3 linked regions of the Oryzias latipes genome follow. The protein of the gene in region 1 interacts with the protein of each later gene in a pairwise test. Links are inferred from orthologs where the notes say so. Each region holds a gene or a part of one and is shown in the gene's direction. Other genes may lie near its edges.

Region 1 (4,052 bases):
ATGATTAAGGTAACTTTATGAAGCGTTTGGGTTTAATCTCCTAAAAGCGTACAGTCTTGCAAAAGGAGAAGTTTGCTGCTGCTGCAAAACTTCAAAACTTTCAGTTCATGAATTGTTAATTTCAGAAAGATCAGGAAGGTTTCCTCATCTTTCATGTGGCGGCTCTAAAGGTGGAAACACTAAACATGAATCCTTCTACCAGCAGTGCATTCAGGGCTTATTCACTTTTTCCAAATGTTTTATGTCTTGTTTCAAATAGAGTAAACCTCAGGGAGGCGTCAGTTTATTAAATGAAAAGGGCCTTTTTGACATTTAAACCTTCAAGGCACCAGAACCTGGGTTTTTTTGCATCGTTTTTCTTTATTTGGGCCTCAGAGGTCCACAGACATTCCCTTTCTGACATGTTCTGCTGAATGAAAGCTCTCATGCAGACAGGTAGGTGTCCTCTCAAACCCAACCGACTCCAGAACCGCGGGTGGACGTCAGTGAAGCCCACGCATCTCAGAGATGATCCGAGCAAACAGGAGACACCGGGGTTTCATTTAAGCCTTTGACGCACTATTGATGCAAACCGATGCTTCTGCTTCATACTCACCTTAAAGAAAAAACAAAGTGTTTTTTCATAAAATTTCCGGGGGTAAACAATTACTTAGTTTTCTTTTATTTTAAAATCTTTTCTTTTTCCCAGTGTCCAAAAAACAAAAGTGTTCTTTTTATGATTTTGTGCTATTTCAAACAACAATAAAAAAAAATTTCACCCAACATTTGCTTTAAGGGATTTCAAACATTTTTGTCTAAACATATATTCTTACGTTGAAATAATAATAAATAATATGATTGTATTATTCAATATTATAGAGTCTCTAATATAATTTCTATTGTCTATGTGGAACTAAGTTTTGAAGTTTAATAATAAAACTGTAATATTTTATGTTTGGAGTACCATTGTACAAATGTAAATACTAAGATCATGAGGACTTGGTTTTAACCAGTTCGGAAAATTGTGACATTCTGACAATTTTTTTTAATGTAATTCTTGTGGCAAATTGAACACATCTTTTATTTTTTTACAGTTCCCTTTGATCCAACAGTCGTAGTTTTCTTTTGCTCAACCTTTCCTCTTCTGAGTATTTTGTCGTACCGTTTTGTCTCCGTTAGGGGGCAGCAGAGTTTTTGAAGATTCCAAAAAGAGGAAGAGGTTGTTGTTTTAAAAGAAGAAGAGTGTGAAGTTCAGGGAGACTTTGTAAACGTAATTTTGAACGGTAATGTGTTCTTCTTGAAAGGTTATTTGTTCTTTGGTTAATAAAGCCGCGTACTCTGGTCTTTGAAGTGTTTGGCTTTAGAATTAAAAAACACACAGATCTACTCAAGAAATGTACATTCTCCCATCTGTCCCCGACTCACCACAGACTTTGAAAAAAAAAGAGGTAATGAAGGACGCTTTTTGTATAGTGGGGTTTAAATGTAAGCAATTTAAAGTCATTTAAACCAGCAACACTAGCAAGTAGATATTTATGTTTGTTTTGTGCTTGCATGTTTTTACAGATTAAAATTCTGTTTTACGAATCTGAGTTGAGCCAACCTGTCATCGGTTTGAATGCAAAAATTCAGAGGGCGCGTGAAGGCAGCTGGTGGAGCAGAGGAGGAACCTTAGCAACGCAGTTGTAAAGCTAGCGTTTCCCCTGATAGAAATGTCAACATGCACCTTGGTGTTCACGGAGAGCGCGTAGTGTTTTACCTGCAGGCCTCTTCATGCTCCCACGTTCATAATGAAGCTCTTTAGTGAGCCAAGCTAGCCCCGCGGACTTTGGCTTTGTCGTAGCCCCGATCGGCTAGCTAGAACGAGCCGCCGTTAGCTTAGCTAGTACCTCGGTCGGTGAATATGGCGATTGTGTCTGGATCGTGTTCCCGGGTGAGCAGCTCCAGAAACGGGCCGTCGGTGTCCGCCGCGCCGTCCCCGTCAGTCGGACAGTCTCAGCCAATGATAGCGGTGTGGGAATGGCAGGACGACCAGGGCTTCTGGCGGCCGTACAGCGGCCAGGTCTGCTCCCACATCGAGCGGTCCCTGTCCCCGCGGGGCCACCGGGGAGCCGGACCCAGCTCCACCAGCGTCTGCCTCGGACAATCAGATCCCAGTCTGTCCCCCTACCTCATCGACATACCGAGCCTGAAGCAGTTTCGACAGGATACAGGTAAACCGCTTCAGCACCACACCTGAAGTCCGGATTCAGATCAGAGATTCTGGTTTCCGTCGTTCATTTTGTCTTTTTAAACTGCATTTCTGAGAAGATGATGTTGGTTCAGTCAGCTGGTCTAGAAAGCAGCAGTACACTTTAAGTTTATTTTATTAAGTATACTTGAGTACACGTATAGCTAGAATACTAGAGACTATGTAGATTTAGTGAAGTAACTGAGTATTTCTTGGAACATTTTGAGTCCAGGAATAGACAGTATGGAAGTGAACTTCAAGTGCATCACTTTTAGTATAGACCAAGTACCTTTTGTAGTACTCTTACAAAGAGTACTGTCTTGCTGAAGGTAAACTCATTTGCGGGTTTTTGTGCAGGAACCACGCGCTCCGTGCGCCGGTCTCTGTTCCCCCAGTCTTCGGGCCTCGGCAGTGGCGTTTACTGGGAATGGGCCAACGATGAAGGGGGCTGGACTCCGTACGAGACCAGAACTTCCATCCTTCTGGAGCACAGTTACCAGGCCCGCCAGGGGACCGCCGACCTGGGCCCTCACGGATACAACTACATTGTGGACCTCACGTCTTTCGCCCAGGTCAACAAATCAACGGGTTTCAGACGGCAGGTTCGTAGACTGGGCAACTCCCCGTTCCCGCTGGCGTCCCCGGGGCCCCCGGCTGTCCCCTTGGGGCCGGCCTGCTCCTGCCAGCAGTGTTTGAGCCACAGCAGCACGGGGCCCATGCCCAGCCGCTCCCGACATTCCTTTTCTTCGGGGAGTCTGAACCGACCCGGCCTGCAGGGACCAGGAAGGGCAGCCGCGACCCACCCCACTTCCGTCTACTCGCCGTATCCCCGGAGGCCCCACTCTGTTGGGGGGATATCCTGGGGCAGCCCCTGGCTCCCCCCTCCCTCTGCCAGTCAGATCTCGGCGTCGCACCTGAGCGGCTCCGCCAGCGCCAACGGGCTCAGGTGGGTTCCGCCTCTCTGTCCGGGGTTTCTGGTATCTGCTAAAACGCTGCCGGTCCCGTTCCAGTCGCCAACACGGATCTGAAGTCACTTTGTGGGGTCAAATGGTTTTACCTGAACAAATGTGGGACAGACATGGATAAAATAGGAACTCTTACATTTTGATTTGATTTGATTTTTGATTTGAAATGGTTTATTTCAAGCAATCAAGGAAGAAAAATACACAAAAACAATACAATCAGCATATTTTATTACATGTTTTATCTTTATCCGGTTCAGAACTTTTATCAGACAGAATTAAGAATCTTTTGGTGTCAATAAATCTCATGATAAAGATGAATTTCTTAATTATTATGTAAAAATAGACATAACTCTATTTTAGAAATAGCAAATGCAGATCAATTATCTAAAATATAAGCTGATTATATTCATTAGAACAATGATGTATATGATTAAAAAATAATACTATATCAGTAAAATAGACATAACACTGTTTCAAAAATCTTCAATATCAAAAATTGATCAAAGTTCAAAAGTTAAAAATATGTGCAAAATTAAGTTTCATTAAGAAAAACCATGAATCCATTTTTGGAGCAAGTGAAGTAATGTAATTAGAAATCACTCATTTTAACCATCTTCGATAATTGATTATGCATTATTTTTATCTTTATTTTATCTTTTTTTTATTTTAAGGTAGTTCTGTGAAATCAAATAAAATGAGAATAAAATCCTTGGTTGTGTCTGAATTCCCACCCTAACCCCAAACTACATAGTGCAGCACTGTGTAGCGCCCTGAATGTTAAAGCGATTCGGACGCCACGCTCACTACTTGTATTTTTTAGACGGCGGATATGACGTCATCGATTTCACAAAGTTAAAATCGAACTGATATGAGCGTTT
Region 2 (4,173 bases), on another chromosome or scaffold:
CTTTGAGCTTAATTTTCTTTATACATGTTCGCCATCACAAGGGTTCAACACAACAAAAACACAATTTTCAGTGGAGTGGGTCTTTGGCAGATTCATCCACAAACATAAGAACCAACATAGTGCATACTTACCATCAATTTTGTTGGAACTGTAGACAACAGTGTTTGCAGCATGAGTGTACCTGATCAAATCCACTCCATACTTCTTACTGTACAAAGTCCTCTTGGGTCTGCCATCAATCAAACAATAGGAAAGGGATGGATTTAAATAAAACAAGCTCTTTAAAAACAAACAAATGTATTACAACCGTAACATTGTTTCCATCATTTGCTGGAAACGTAAAACAAATGTGACTAATAACCAAAGCCTACTTCAAACTTGGTTTTCTTGATGTTTTTTGTACTCAGTTCTGTTTTTAACTGTATAATAAGTTGTAGGTTAGGAATTCATATTACGTTATACTAAAAAAAAACACTTAAAAAATATTAACCATTTAAAAATTATAGCTGCAGTGAGTTTAAACAACTGAGTTTCAATGTAAATATAAATTGTTGATTCAAATATGTGTACAACAACAGATATATTGGATCGTTCAATCCAATTACTTCACAAATTGCTAGGAAAACATATTTTCCTTAAGATTAATTTGTTTGTGTTCCAGACATACTTTTCCAACAGTAAACAGTGCAACCGTTGGGGATCAACATCTACAATATATTTTAAATGGGAACTGCTAGCTAGCAGGCCCTGCTATTGCTAACTAGCATGAAGTAGCTTCACCAGTGGGTCAAACTCGGAAGAAGCGGGTCTTACTTTCCTTCCTGGCAGTCGTACAAAACTAACGAGTCGTCGTCACTGCTAGAAATAATAGTTTCTCCATTGGAACTGAAGTCGAAGCAATTTATTTTGTCTGAATTTTCCCGAAACACTTTAGCGACCCTGAAGCTCCGCAGCACATTGTCTGTTAGCTTCATAGTGACCTGACTAGAGAGGAAGAAGATCCTCGCTTTCCTTATGCTCGCAAATGTTAGCGAACACTGTTTGTAATAATAAAATAAAAAAGATATAAACGGCAACAAAGTAAAAGAAAAACTGAAAAAGGTGGAAGTAGAGGGGTTCAAAAACTACAACGGTAATAATAATTTTTACTCCACGGCTGAGACGGGGGGGTAAAGCACCGCCCGTTTCACGACGTCGGTGGCGCGTATCACAGAAACCGCCTGACACACCTGAAATCACGCGAGATAAACGATCGTCATCGCGAGGTTTAGCTGACGGCAACGTAAACAACAGAGAAATGTGGATGAATACAATTGCTTACAATTCTTTGATTGAATCTGTTTAAAATATGATACTTAGTTCCCGATTTTCTTAGGTATGTTAACATTTTGGTTTACTAGGAGTTTATATATGTTTTACTTTAACTTTGCAATGAATCCAGAAAAGCAGTTGGACTTTTGACCTGACAGGTCGGGAAGACGAGACTGAGGTACGAGCAATAAAAATCCGTTTTATTTCCTGTTTTTTTTTATACACTACATATTGGATTAATTCCCTTTAACTTTAATTTTGGTCATGTTAGATGGAGAGGGGGAAAAGGGAAGATTAAACTGTTAAAGAAAGAAATAAGACTAGAGGTAAGGCTGTCTAGACCAGGGGTCCCCAAAACCTTTCCCAGTGAGAGAGCCACATGAGGTTTCCATTTCTGATCGGGGGCCAGAACTTTTTTGTCACTATGTAAACTTTGTTTTCTGTTCTGATGGGTGGGGGTGGGTAACATTCAAGTTCCATGACTGGGGCAAAGTGAGGTTGCAGTAGTAGCAACATTTTTAGCTTAGCTCACATTTCAATTCATATAAACTTTATTGACATTGGGAAGGTCCACTTCACCCCAGTTTCCATGCTTCCGTGAGTCTTGATCACGTGGCCAAGCTATGTGATCATGCTAAAAAAAAAGGGTAGGGGTTTGACTCTCTCTGGTAAAGTTCAGGGTCAAATATGTGGGCGGGCTGGGTCCGTCCCCTGGGCCGCAGTTTCGGGACCCCTGGTCTTGAACAGTGTTTTTCAACCTTTTTTGAGCCATGGCACACTTTAACCTTGACCAAAATCCCGTGGCACACCAGCATCCAAAATTTAAAAAAAGGAGAAACTTATAGTTTGCATTGATCTACAGGCCCTCCACAATTTCACATGCATTTTTGTGATAAAATAGAAAAAGCTGGAAGTTGCAGCCGTTTTTTTTCTAAAAGATGTAATAAAAGTTAAGTTAAAAGATTTCAAAACTGTTTGATGCGTGTTCGTTGTGGTTTCAAGACTTTTAACAACGAAAATTCATCGTACGCTGAGCAGCTGTCACTTTAACCCAATGCATCATGGGATATGTAGTACAATCAGCCGCCGAACGCAGATAGACTCACTTCTCTGAGCTTCATGGTTTTGTTCACTTTTTCCATGGCCTGACACCGGATCCCGCGGAAAGCTTCATTGCTAAACACGAGCTTTAGCTGGTATTTTTGTTAAAACTGAGAGACTTTATGAGCAGAATCAGAACAAGGAAGTGAGGACTTTAACCACTTCTGATTGGTCAGACTGATGACATGTGATTAGGCCTCCAAGAATGATTAGTGGAGACAGTTAAAGGGGCGGGACTTTTCCGAAAACAGAACTGAAGCTGCGGCTAAATCACAGTACCCTCATTCTTATCAAAATGTCTTTAATAGAATCAAATAAACACAAAGAAAAAAGTATTTTACGATCTTTCATATTCCTAACTACTCAGTGTTTTATCAGGACATTTTTGGATGAACACAGAGGTGATATCGTCAAGATGGTAAAAAAAATGTTCGTCAAGATGGTAAAATCAGCTGATGCTGTAGTTATTATTATTATTATTTATTTTTTTATTTTTTATTAATCCAGCCTAGAGCTTGAACAACACAACAGTAAAATCTAAGCAGAATTTAAAAACTATTGATAATAATAATAACAGAAAACAAAAGTGTAAAATAATAGGAACCATGCAGAATTTAAAGCATGCGCCGCCCCTTTGGAAAAGCTGAGACCTGACAGTATCATGGATTGTTCACAATCATCATTTTTAAAAATGTGGTCATTTAAATCTCAAAAAGATTTGAGATAACTTGTGTCATCTGACCTTCCCCCAACAATCAGCATCATGGGTTCCTTACAAAAAATTGTCTAGAAAACTGAAACTGAAAATAGTTGATGCTCACAGAGCAGGAGAAGAAGCAAAGTATTTTCAGATGCCAGTAGCCCCCTCTTCGGAATGTAATTAAGAAATGGAAGACAGCAGGAACAGTGGAAGTTAAGGCAAGATCTGGCAGACCAAGACAAATCTCAGACAGAGCTGCTCGCAGGGTTGTGAGAAAAGCAAGTCAAAACCCAAGTTTGACTGCACAATGCCTCCTGAAAGACTTTGCAGACTCTGGAGTTGTGGTTCGATGTTCTACTAGAAAGAGATACTTGTACAAATACAGTCTTCATGAAAGAGTCATCAGAAGAAAACCTCTTTTACGTCCTCACCAACCTTTTCAACCTTTGAAGTTCGCAAATGTACATGTAAACAAGCCTGATGCGTTTTGGAAACCACTTCTGTAGAACAATGAGGTTAAAATGAAACTTTGTGGCCAGAATGAGTGAAGGTAAGTTTGGAGAAGAAAGGGCTCAGGGTTTAATGAAAAGAACCCGTGTCCAACTTTTAAGCATGGGGGTGGAACAATCATGCCTTGGTTTTGTATTGCAGCCAGCGGCACATGAAACATGTCATGAGTAGAAGGAAGAATGAATTCTACAAAATGTCAGCAAATTTTGATGTTATCTGTGAAAAAGCTGCAGTTGAAGAGAGGATGGCTTCTACAAATGGATAGTGATCCACCTCACACCTCAAAATCCACACCTCAATGGATGAAAATACCACAAACAAGAAATGAGAGGCTCCTAGCTGGCTACAAAAAGCTTTTACAAGCTGTGATACTTGCCCAAACTTTTGCTCACCCAATTATTTTGTTTTCTGTTATTTTGGAGGGGTAAATGATGGAAATAAAGCCTTTTTTTTACATATCACAACAATATCTCATCTGTAATCTGATGCCTTTTGATGATTTTTCCATCTTTCCATTACCTCTTTATGAACAAGAGTGTAACGTTTTACCC
Region 3 (4,174 bases), on another chromosome or scaffold:
AAAGAGCTGACAACAAGCTTTAGATTCAAGCGTTAATGAAAAACAACTCAAATAAAGAAAATATTTATTTGGCTGCATAATTTACACGGCCTAAGAAGCAGCTGATACATGCGAAGACAGGCGAACACTCATCTTTCAAACCCATGCTCTCCTTTGCTTTTGAGAAAATCAGTAATGAATGTAAAGTAAATTGGCAAAGTGTCTCTCAGGAGGAGTAGCATTTCACACATCAGCAGCACTAGAGGGCTAATGTAGAAAACTACTCATAAAATCATCAGCATGATGTTTGTTGCTTCAAAAGGGAATATTTTATTGTGAAGGGATGCAGCCTGAAGATCAGCTTACAACAGAATTTAAACTGGAGCAAGAATTCTCAGAGAATTGATTACATTTATCAACTAGAGCATTCACTTTAATATAAATAAGGGGCATATAAGAGGGATGTAATTTGATTCATTCCATGTATAAATATTTGCAATAGAATGTTAAGGCATGAAAAAAAGATGCCAGAGAGAAGCAAGGCTACCCCAAAATACAATAAATTCAGAAATAATATAAAATAAAACAAAGAAAATGTGGGTACACACACCAAAGATCATTTCATGATAAAGGCTGACATCTTAATAAGAAGATGTAACCAAAAATTTGCCCACTTCGTCTCATTTTAGTAGTGGTGTTATACGGAACCTTGGACATGACATAAAACAAAAAAAAAAAACGTTATTTCAAATCAATAATTTGTTGTCACAAATTAGTATTTTGTGGGAACAGATAAGTATTTTGTGGCCCCAAATGAGCATTTTATTAGCATTTAAGGGCACAAATTAGTTTTCTCTGTGCACAAACGTGTATGTTTGTATCTTCAATTCCTACTACTATTACTAGTTTGTGTCCCTAAATACTAATTTCTGAGCCCATAATGCAAATTTGCGCACACTAAATGCCAATCTTTGCCTACAATAAAGACATTTATGTGCACAAAATGCAAATTTTGTGCCCACGATAAGCTAATTTGTGCCCACAAAATATGGATTTGTGCACACAAAGCTCTAATTTGTGCCAACAAAATTTGAAATACGAATTTGTGCACACAAAATTTTACTTTGCGCCCACAAAATGCTCATTTGTGCTCCAAAAAAATACAAATTTGTCCCAGCAAATACAAAAGCGTATGCACAAAATGAGAATTTTATGCGCAATAAAATGCCAATTTGCAGCCACAGAATACAAATTTATTCACATAAAATTTGTATTTGAGCATACAAAATTCTAATGTGTGCACATAAAATGCAAATGTTTGCCCACAAAATCCATATTTGTACCCACAACATTCCAAAATGTTAATTTGTACCCTCAAGGTGCTCATTTGTGCCTACAAAATGCCCATTTGTTCGCACCAATAATTGTTCACAATATTATTTTGAGGGAACAATTTTGTTTTAATGTCATGCTCAGGGCTCCGTAGTTTCTTGATGTGAACAACTGTAGATTTTTCCCCCTGTTTTTGTACACAGCTAGCTGCCTTTTTTATGATTTTTCTGAACAAGACTAAAAGTAACTTCTTGGTGCCCTATAGTCCCTCCTCCCGTTAGAAAAAAAAAGAAAAAGAAACTTGAATAGAGACAGTCTCCCTTCAAGGAGTTTACGGTTGTAAATCAGCTCTTTCATAGAGTAACAGCCAGTAGTGAGTGCAGACAGAAAGTCAGTGTGTGGACGTCGGTACCGCCGCGTCAGCGTCTCCGCTTGTGAGCTGACTCTGTCGGGCTATCGAGCGGCGTCACTCCCAGACGGCGCGGCGTCGGAGCGAGAGGCGGCCGGAACTCGACGGAAGCAGACAGGGTAGGACCGCGGCTCCCTGCTGCCGCTCACGCTTTCTTTGGACGGCGACTGTGAGCTCCTCCTGCTTCAGGTAACAACACCACGAGAGCGCCAAAAAGAAATCCATTACGGGGTTCCATCTACCCCCCCCCCCCCGAAATAAATACCCGGCGTGGGTACTTTAAACCCTACGCGTAAACACTGACTGTCGAGCTCTTTGCATGATTGTCGCCGTTGTTGTCCTGGAGCCATTACCTGCGTTGCTATGGCACTGCCAGGCAACATCCCACCTGCTGCTGCCGTGACTCTTTACATTTCTTTTTACCTGTTAAATGTGTATTTTTTACTTAAAAAACATGTCAGTACAACTGTGTAGATGACTTACTGTACTCATAATACAGCTATCTAAAGCAGTATTGTCGGATATTCGTGTTTTTGCAGGTTTAACAATTCTGCTTTCTTTGAAACACAGACACATTTGTGAACCCTAAAAGCTCTATTTTTTGTCTTTCTCTCCCAGCAACTTGGTTAAACCCTGAAGACTTAAGCAAACAGAAGATGGTGATTTGCAGCAGGACGTCCCCCAGAAGGACCCCCCATGCTGCGGACACAGAGAGCAGATGTTTGCACTGAAGGTGCCCACTAGTGCACACAGTGGTTCCTGTCCTGTTCCCCAGAGAGCTGCTGTGGTTCATTCCAACGCAATGGTTGCACAGAAAATGCACTACATGTCCTCTGGTCCGCTGAGGCCAGAAGAGACCTATGAGTCAGAATGTAGGAGGAAGAGGAAAACTCTCACTCTTCAAATAGTAAACTTGGTGGACAGTTGTTTATTTTTAAAGCAGCTCGTAGGGGAGTCGTGATTAATCAACTTAATCGATGAATTGATTTCTGTTCCTAAAATCCAACCAGTTCGATCTGTCTGAGGAAAGTTATTTATCCAATCAACCTATACCATTATAAAATGGGTTCAAAATGATATAAATCGATTGTAATCAATAATGGAAAATACCATTTGGATGGAGGCACAGTAGGATAAAAATAACTTAGTACCATCGCAGCAGACAACACACATGCGATAGCAGCAATCTGTGAGTCACACTGGTTGAATTTTTGTCTAAAGATGTCCTGGATTGATTTTGGTTCAATGACTCGAATCGTTTAAAATGAACCAATATCGGCTATAAATTGTATCAGCAAACACAAATTGAGATATAAATCGAATTGTGGTTAAAATCAATCGTTACACCCCTAGCAGCTCTAGATCTAAAATTTCCTTGGCATTTGTAAAGGGCAACAGACACATTTTGTATACATTCTCACGTTCATGAATTACAGTTGAATGAGTGCAGAACTCAGGGCAAGGGAAGACTTTTAAGGTTCTATCTATTGTGTTTTAGTGTACACATCTTATCACAGCTGTCAAGGGGGAGGGATTTTGTACTTCAGTAACTTACCCGGAGCAGTAGAGATAGCGATGGGGAAGGGAAAAGTAGGAGGGGGTTAGGAGAGTGGAGAATGACTGTGAGGGAGTAATCTTGCTTTACCCAGCCTTTAAGTGACTCTTGTATCCAAGGACGAAGGTAGCAACGCATCAGAACGCCACTCTTCGCCCACGGACTGCTGTGGAGAAATGAGGCGAACACATAGGCTCTTGGCAACGCTTACTTTAACCCAACAACCTGCTGGCCCTGCTTCACAGAGCCCCTGGGGTTTGATGCATCTGTTTGGAGAGCGGGGACCGATGACTGAGCAGATCATGACCGCAGCTACACTGAAACTACTAGAAGGATAGGATCCCATCTTGAATGGGTGCTTCTCCTCTTTTTTTTCATGCTCAACTCCGTCAAAGCGAACATAAAAAGTCTGGTTGTCTTTCCTTCGTTGCCCGTTCGGCCACTGAGGCTCAAACGTCCCACGTTTGCTGTATGTTTTTGGCAGAGGAGAACACTGGAAAGGAGGAGGTAACAGGTGCCTGCTTGCCAAGGTGAATTTGGAGGAACATCATGGGGAAATCAAACAGCAAGCTCAAACCCGAGGTGGTTGAGGAACTGACAAGGAAAACATACTGTGAGTACTGACAGCTCTTTTTTTTAAAGCTTTTCTTTATGTTGGAAAAAAAAATACAGAAATTCTTTTAAAGGATGTGATGGGTGGAAACTTAGTCTTTGAATCAAGCTAAGAACATCTTTATATAGATCTTCTCTGCTTATTAATCCTCTGTGTAGAATGTGGAGAGGATCAAATTCCCAGTCCAATCATCTTTTTTTAAAATCTATTTTAAGTGTTCCAAGTGGTCTTTTAATTATAGTTAGGCCGTTTTTAGACAAAAACCTGTGTGGTTTTCTCGGACATA

The links. The genes of interacting proteins can lie anywhere in the genome.
Region 2: the proteins of probable E3 ubiquitin-protein ligase DTX2 (region 1) and glyctk interact in binary tests that used the Homo sapiens proteins (3 or more experiments, as listed by UniProt). The two-hybrid records come from large-scale screens. The link is inferred for Oryzias latipes from reciprocal best matches to the Homo sapiens genes DTX2 and GLYCTK.
Region 3: the proteins of probable E3 ubiquitin-protein ligase DTX2 (region 1) and ncs1 interact in binary tests that used the Homo sapiens proteins (3 or more experiments, as listed by UniProt). The two-hybrid records come from large-scale screens. The link is inferred for Oryzias latipes from reciprocal best matches to the Homo sapiens genes DTX2 and NCS1.

What each region holds. Positions count from the first base shown.
Region 1 is NC_019872.2:28,224,179-28,228,230, forward strand, and holds the start of probable E3 ubiquitin-protein ligase DTX2, read left to right. Parts: upstream 1-1,242; 5' UTR 1,243-1,882; coding exon 1,883-2,192; intron 2,193-2,566; coding exon 2,567-3,155; intron 3,156-4,052. UniProt on the Homo sapiens protein: Regulator of Notch signaling, a signaling pathway involved in cell-cell communications that regulates a broad spectrum of cell-fate determinations.
Region 2 is NC_019863.2:8,153,814-8,157,986, forward strand, and holds the start of glyctk (glycerate kinase), read left to right. Parts: upstream 1-1,290; 5' UTR 1,291-1,489; intron 1,490-4,173. Other genes in the region: wdr82 (WD repeat-containing protein 82), read right to left, coding at 132-229, 814-974.
Region 3 is NC_019867.2:19,620,834-19,625,007, reverse strand, and holds the start of ncs1 (neuronal calcium sensor 1), read left to right. Parts: upstream 1-1,291; 5' UTR 1,292-1,909; intron 1,910-2,338; 5' UTR 2,339-2,453; intron 2,454-2,496; exon of another isoform or gene 2,497-3,520; 5' UTR 3,521-3,630; exon of another isoform or gene 3,631-3,759; 5' UTR 3,760-3,824; coding exon 3,825-3,888; intron 3,889-4,174. UniProt on the Homo sapiens protein: Neuronal calcium sensor, regulator of G protein-coupled receptor phosphorylation in a calcium dependent manner. Directly regulates GRK1 (RHOK), but not GRK2 to GRK5. Can substitute for calmodulin. Stimulates PI4KB kinase activity.